2 linked regions of the Canis lupus familiaris genome follow. The protein of the gene in region 2 interacts with the protein of the main gene of each other region in a pairwise test. Links are inferred from orthologs where the notes say so. Each region holds a gene or a part of one and is shown on either strand. Other genes may lie near its edges.

Evidence for each region. The genes of interacting proteins can lie anywhere in the genome.
Region 1: the proteins of ARNTL (region 2) and NPAS2 interact in binary tests that used the Homo sapiens proteins (3 or more experiments, as listed by UniProt). The link is inferred for Canis lupus familiaris from reciprocal best matches to the Homo sapiens genes BMAL1 and NPAS2.

What each region holds. Positions count from the first base shown.
Region 1 is NC_049231.1:43,056,638-43,060,739, forward strand, and holds the start of NPAS2 (neuronal PAS domain-containing protein 2), read right to left. Parts: upstream 2,801-4,102; 5' UTR 2,566-2,800; intron 1-2,565. UniProt on the Homo sapiens protein: Transcriptional activator which forms a core component of the circadian clock.
Region 2 is NC_049242.1:36,919,812-36,923,311, reverse strand, and holds part of ARNTL (aryl hydrocarbon receptor nuclear translocator-like protein 1), read right to left. Parts: intron 3,390-3,500; coding exon 3,239-3,389; intron 2,401-3,238; coding exon 2,312-2,400; intron 1,846-2,311; coding exon 1,741-1,845; intron 837-1,740; coding exon of another isoform or gene 822-836; coding exon 713-821; intron 1-712. UniProt on the Homo sapiens protein: Transcriptional activator which forms a core component of the circadian clock.

The sequences.
Region 1 (4,102 bases), on a different chromosome or scaffold from region 2:
CTAAACGGAATGAAGTGTATTCCAGAACTTTGCTGGCGTTTCACAGCATCAGGAGCTTGTGAGAAATGCAGAATATTGGCTCCCAACCCAGATGTGCTGAGTAAGCCTGTGCATTTAGGAAGGTCCCCAGGAAATCACACGCACTGTGAAGTTTGAGACACAATCTTTGGCACCTTCACCTTCTTTAATACACTTTTTTTCACACCACCAGAAAGGAGAAGCTAAGCTCTCTCCTTTCTATTCTGCATCATCAGATGGAAACCACACATTGTTTTATGATCCATAGAAGTTCAAGTGATCTTGGAGGCAATTTGCCGAGAAGATGACTTCGCTTACAATGCCAAGTGGTCGCCAATGTCCAAGAATTCAGCGAGCAAATTCAGTAGTGCCTTAGCTAATGCCTGCATTTAGAAATTCTTTTTAATAAGTGTTCACATTCAGTAAGTCCTTACTTAGTGCTGTAAGGTATTATTCACCATCATCAGATTTAAACTTGAGTTACTCATAGTTAAGTACTCCATTAGCATTCACGAATTTCTAACCTCTGGATAACTCTCATCGACAACTCCGCTCACTTCCTACACTCTTTGTTGAGCATCTATTATGAACAAGGCCTCACAGGGCTGAGATGCGGTGGGGAATATGAACGTGGCAGTCCCTGACCTCCCATCTTTGCTACAAATAGAATGATGATCAGGAACATGCTAATGAAACATTTGTGTAAGCAAATAATGCATCAAATATCATTTCCACTATTTAAATGTGAAACTCAATTAGATGCTTCTATGATGCAGCCAATTAATCCATCGGCGTAAAGCAGCCAAGAATACTGAGTCACTGGGCTATTTTCAACACCTTGTAATTTGACCTCTCTTGGGAAAGAGATGTCACCGCTTACATGGGATCCGCATGGGACAATCAGTGTCCCGATCACAATGGAGAAACTGACTTTTCAAGTGAAGGACAAGATACATAGCAGTAATAACAGTTAAGAAAAAGGACTTTAGCTCTTCAGGTTCTTAAGGTTCAAAAGCAAGACTTCAAAAAAATGAACATATACAGGTGATCATATCAAAAAGATATGCATATAGTGTTATTTTAATCTGAACAAATCACTAATTTGTAACTTGAAACAAGTGGCAGGGTGAAGAGCCAGCTATAAAGACTACCAAGAGTTAAGATAGTTTAAAAAATACGATAAATTCAACTTAATAATGGCATGCATCACATGATGTGGGTCATTGTTTTTTTTTTTTAACATTTTCATTACTTTTATCATTTTCATTATTAGGCAGCCAGAAATAGTTGACAAAGGACCCAAACTCCTAAAAGAACCAAATGTGCTTAAAAACAATCATTATTTTCTACCCAGAGATGAATTCTTTGTCACCATCTGAACACTCTCATCATATCAGGGAATTTTTTTCATCACACTAATTAATAAAGCCACACTTGGTTCTTTTCTTGGCACGTTAAACTCTTTGGGGGGCAACGTTTTATTAATAACGTATTTCCTCCAGAATGAAGTCCCTTCTCTCACCTCCGCAGGAGTCACTCTGGGGAGTAGTAAGGATATAACCAATTCTGCTGTTGCACACAGTGGGACAGATCAGCAAATAAATAGAAGCATCGATTTCCAAGATGAAAATGGCTAAAAGCAGCACATTTACAATTCTTCTAAGCCACACTCCCGCATCGCTCTGGGAGATGGAAGACAAGTATTGAATGTCTTTATGTTGCACACTTTATTTCTAACTAAGTGTTTAAGAAGACTGCTGAGAAATGCCAATACTTCTATGGGTCCTGGCTTAGCTGTGTAATGTAACACAGATTTTAAAAATTTATTTTCTGCTTTTGCAAAAAATAGTGGCCCTAGTCAGAACAACACCTTTAAATGCTATATTTATTTGGGGGCTATTTTAAAATACATTTTGGGATTATTTTTGCTAAGCTTTCTCTTTAAGGAAATCTTTGTGACAGAAAGACCTTAGTACTTGCCCTTGAATTTTGAACTGGCACTTCCCACCCAAGAAGGGCATCTCTGCTTTCATGCAAGCCATAATCAGTTGTTCAATTCACTGGTCAGGTACTAAGTTAGTCTTAGGACAGAGGCGTGGACAGGGCTACATCTTGCCAGGAACTGCTTTTGAGCCAATCATCTGGAAAGTCCAAACAGGGAAAACCCTCCTATTAAGGAAAAGAAGGTTTGGTTTCTAAATGATCACAAATGACCAGTTCCTCTCTGCTGATTACGTTAACAGCTACTCAATATTTTACCTGTAAAGAAACAGGCCAACCAATTTAATGAATTTGGGGCACTATACCAAAGCAGCAGGTAGGTACTGAAGACAAACACGTAGAGCTCTCCCCTCTTGGACCCCTTCTGAACACCTGTTGAATCCCAGGGCTCTAAACTTTTTGAACTAAAGCCTCCCGGATACAATCATGGTAGTTTTTAGACTTTCTGGAAGTGTGTGTGTATTTTTAAGGTTTCCATCTTGCTTAATCTCCAAAGCTGGTTACTAATTATTTATGAATCACAGGGCTGAAAACAAACTTTCTTACCTTGAGCAGTCAAGGAGCGGCAGGCAGAGGAGCGGGGTTTTTAATTTAGCTCCCTGGCACCTGTCCCCGCTCCCCCTGCTGAAGGACCCCGCGCAGCTCCACGGAGAGGTCAAAGGTAGGGCTCCTCGGCGGCCCCGGGGAGGGGGCACGCCTCCTATCAAAACAGCGCGCTGGCATCCAAGCTGGGGAGCGGCGGCGAGGCGAAGCGAGGAGCCGGGCTACGCGTTCTCCAAACGTGCAGGGGGCAGGCTGGGTTCCCGGTCGGGCCCGGAGCCGAATCCGACCCAGGGACCCGGGGGATCGCGGGCCCGGGGCGCGCACGCCGCACTCTCCGGGGCTTCCCCGCTCCCCCTCTTCGAGAGGGCGAGCGGTGGGGCTCGGGGGGGGGGGCGGGGGGCACGGGCGGCCCTCCAGGCTGCTACCTCGGCTTGGCCTCTATCCACCCCGACGGCACCCTCTGAGCTCCCCCAAAGGCTGAGGTTCGGGGTGCCTCGTCCTCCGCTGCCTACGGCGCGACGCACACGGAGCACACCAGCCCGGCCGCCCCTGCAGTCCTGCCGGCCGCGGCGTCCCGGGCGGCGGGCCCCGGGGGGCGGGGGGACCCCATCCCGCGCCCCCGACCCCCGCGCCGCGCAGCCCCGCGCCTGAGCGCCCCCCCCCCCCCCGCGGCCCCGCGCGTCCGCCGCGCCGGCTGGCAGGTGACCGGGTCCCGCGAACCCGCGCGCGCGGACTCCCGCCGCGGGCCCCCCGCGTCCCCGGGCGCGGCCCCTTACCTCGGAGCTGGCCGGGGCGACCCCGCGGGGCCGGGCGCGGACTGGGCCGGGGAGACGCGCCTCCCGCCGCCGCCGCCGCCGCCGCCGCCGCCGCCGCTGGGAGCCGAGGCGGCGAGCGGGCGCGGCGAGCTCCTCCCGGGCGGCGGCGGGAGGCGCTGCTCTCGCTGCCGCCGCCGCCGCCGCCGCCGCCACCGCGGCCGCGGGTCTCGGAGCTGCGCGGCCGCTGCTGCCCGGCCGCCGGCGCGCGGGTCCCTCGGCTCCTGCGGGAGGCCGGCTGCTCGCGCGGCAAACTCTTCCGCACGCAGAGCCGGTGGGGAGAGCCGCCGCCGCCTCTTCCTCCTCCCCCGCCCTCCTCCCGCCTCCCGCCTCCCGCCGCCGCCTCCTCCTCCCTCGCCTCCTCCTCCTTCCCTCCGCTCCTGCTGCCGGGTCTCTCCCGGGCGCACGCGGGGCCTCGGCCCGCCCCGGCCTGGGACTCGCACGCTGCGGCCCCCGGACCCCCGGCTCCCCTGGGCGGCGCGGCGGCCGGCGCCTCTGCCGGGCCGCGGGGAGCGCGGGGTCGGGGCCCGGCCGGGGGCGCGGGGTCGGGCTGGCGCGGGCGGCGGGCGGCGGGCGCGGGCGGCGGGTGTGCGTGCTTGGAGGTGAACTGGCCGGGAGCGGCCGCGGGCGGGCGCGGGGCCGCCGGCCGAAGTCCCGTTCAAGTTGTCGCCGGGGGCGGCCGGGACAGACCCTCGCGGGGCCCGCTGCCACCCCGCGGCCCCGTGCGG
Region 2 (3,500 bases):
TCTGAGCACTCACCATATGTCAGTTTCTACCCTAGGAACATTCCTGAGACCTCTCATACTCCTAAAGCAATTCTTGGGAGATAGTTATTACCTGCCTTTTATGGCTTAATTCAACAGAGACCAGGAAGTTAAGTGAATCTCTTAAGCACAGCCAAGTAGGAGCCCAGAACTCAAACTCCAGTAAACTACTTAAATATGGAAAAGAAGCCCTCTCAAGAGAGATTCTGCGTGGGCTCTTATCGAAGCCAGGCAGCTTTGACTAGAAGCAGCTAATGTCGTGTTGAGGCCCAGATCACGGACTGTCGCCACTCCTGCAGTCCTGTAATGTTACAGTGTTCATCCATCCTCATGAGCCCCTTGAGTCATAATAAAGTAATGAGAAAACTGAGTCCCCAAAGAATTCCCTTTAACTCTGGCCTGTTTGGGTTTCACTCTTTAAGGCCAGATTTCTCAATCTCGGCACCATTGACATTTGGGACTGGAAAATTCTTTGTTTCGGGTGGAAGGAGATGGCAGGGAGGCTGTCCTGTGTCCTACAGGATGTTTAGCAAGCAGCATCCCTGGTCTCTATCCACTGGATATTTAGCAGCAACGTCCTACCCAGTTATGACAACCAAAAATATCTCCAGGTATTACAAAACAGCTCTCGGGGGCAAAATGCCCTGGGTTGAGAACCACTGGTTTAAGGGAGCAACTAGAAGGTGTTACTTGCCTGTGGATCTCCATGATTTCTTCAGCAATCATTCGACCTATTTTGCCTGCCCCAGCCCTGGTTCCCCCTGGAATCCCTGGAACAGTGGGGTGGGTCCTCTTTGGGCCACCTACAACAAAGGAATCTGAGAGTGGGAAAGGGGAACCAAGGAAGAAATGCTATTATGAGTTAAAACCAGTTCATCTTGTGATCCACTTGAAGTTTAACCTCAGGGTTATGCCCTAAGGGACAGCAGAGCTGCAGCTTGTCAGGAAAAGCCATTCCAGCAGAAGGCTCAAGTTTGCGTCCAGGATCAGAGGCCAAAGCAAGGGCTCTAGTTCCCCTCACGCGCTCAACATCCGTTTACCGACTACCGCTGTACAGCAAGCCAGGGTCCCAGAGGCAAGTCGGCAGCTCTGCCCTCAAGGAGCTCACAGTCTAACAGGGGGATGAACAAGATGAACAATGGCTGGAACAAAGTGTGGTAAGTTTGACAGGTAAGTACAAGGCACCCAACTCCTCCAGGCCCAGGTACAGCTTCCTGGGCAAGTTTAACACTGAGCTGAGTCTTGAGAGAGGAGTAGAAATTAGCTGGGCAGAGAGGTAGGGAGGGCAAGGTGTTCCACGCACAGCAACCAATGTACGCAAGAGCACTGAGGGAGGACACAACTTGGGAGACTACTCCAAGAACTTCATCATGAACGATGACGAAAGAGTGACAGATGAAACTGGAGGAGGTACCTGGGTGAAAGGTCCTGGATGCCATACTAATGGATTTAGACAGGATCCAGAGATAAGGCGTGCCAAACACTTCGCACAGAAAAGGCACTTAGGTTGGGTTACTGGGAAGTCCACTGCATGGAGCGTGAACTACAGCGGAGGAAAGGGGTTGGGTGGGGGAGTAAGACTACGATTAAAAAATTCTCTGCAACAATCCGGGCGACAGATGGGAGGGAGATGGAGAAGTCTAAGAGGGGCAGAAGGGACAGGACCTCGTGCTCAGATAGAACGGGCATGAAGGAAGAGTCAAGGTTTCTGGCTTAACCAACCAGATGAAGGAGTGCAGAGAATCGGTTTGGAGAGGCTAAATTTCAGGTGCTTTTGAGACTCCAGGTGGCTCTGTCCAGGAGGCAGGTGGAGAGACAGACCTATGGCTCCAGAGACAGAGAGATCAGATGTAAGAGTCGGTGGTGGAGAGGAGGGGACTGAAGGAAGCCATGCAAGCGGAGGTGGTGCCGTGGAAGGGTACGTCAGGTGCAGAGGCCAGGGCCAAGCCCAGAAGGGAGCCCCACTGACAGAGACCCTCCTCCCCCCCAGGAGCCAGTGACAGTACCAAAAAGCACCACATCCCAGCACTGGGCAACACGGAGGAAAGCCCAAGAGGAGCAACGAGTTTCCTATTCCAAGGGCTTCCAAGGTCCCGGCAACCTTGGAACGAGCTCTCAGTATTCCAGGCTCCACAGAGAAAGTGAGAGGACAACGTCCTTAGGGCTCATCTGCTTGAAGCCTCCCTTCCATAAAATATGGGGGCTGGGGACACCAAATAGTTGGGGAGGGGGTACACTGGCCACGAGCAGCTTCTCATGGGCAAGCCCCGATGCCCCTGCAGTACATAGTTACCTTCTCCAGAGGGCAGCATGCTGTCCATGCTGTGGGGGGACGCTGTGAGCTGCGGGAAGGTTGGGTCCCCGCCTTCCAGGACGTTGGCTCTGTGAACATCCCAGCAATAAGGAAACATGAGTCAGGCCTGCTCAGAACCGTGCACCTTTCACCTTGGCCAAGGTGTCCGGTGTCCACTCTGGACCTGGACAGGCCAGAAAATGAAGTGTCTGCCTGAGTGGCTCAGCAGGTCTCCTCGCTGTTCGAGAACACGGTGGACAGCATCCCGGCCTTTGGCCTCACTGCCTGCCTGGGCCTTCCTGGTTTGTAGAGGACACAGTCCGGCAGAGAAGGTGACTGCAGCCGCCCACTGCCATTGCTACGGGGCCTCCTCTCCTGCCAGTGTGCAGGGACCTAGCCCCGGCCCCTCACTCTGCTCTGGACACCATGGGGAAGGAGATGCGGGGAGCAGTCCTCGCCCAAGAGGGGCCCCTTCCCTGCTCGCCTGGCAGGTGGCGGCCTCTGAGGCGGGCTTTGGGCTGCCAGCGCTCGGGCGGCCAGCCCGGCGGGCACGGGGGCCCTGAGCCAAGGCCAGCATGAGGCGGCACCCGGGCGAGCCTCTCCTGGGCTGTCGGCCTCTGCACGGCAGCGCCCAGGCGCCCAGCGTGCAGGGCCTTCGGGCGTCAAAAGCTAACTGCCGTATCGGGAAGGAACGGTTGCTGCTCCCGTGGCAATTCCACGAGCCAGGGGCCTGCACGGCACGCACATCGAAGCGTGTTCTTGGTTACCGACCCCTTTGGCCTCTGCCCATCCCGAGGCCTCGCCGGGTATCGGCCGGTAGCCTTAGAGGGTGCGCCACTGGCTGCCGCCTGCACCCGCCTTCCCAGGTAAGGAGCCCGGGCATTTGTCCTGGAGGCAAGAGAGCTTCCCGGGCGGGGGGACACTTACAAAACAACAGTGTTGGTTGAGACGATGTACTCTACTTCCTTGGTCCAAGGGTTCATGAAACTGAACCATCGACTCCGGAGCGTGATGAAAGAACCATCTTTGATTTTAAACTTATAGCAATTAGTCGTGATCTTTTCTCTCGTCTGTAAAACTGAAAATGCAAAGAAACCATGAATATTGCTTCCTCAGACCAACACAGTGAACTAAGCAAACCCTAAGTGCGCCTGGACCCCGCTGCCGCCACCCTTCAAGGGGCTCGCGC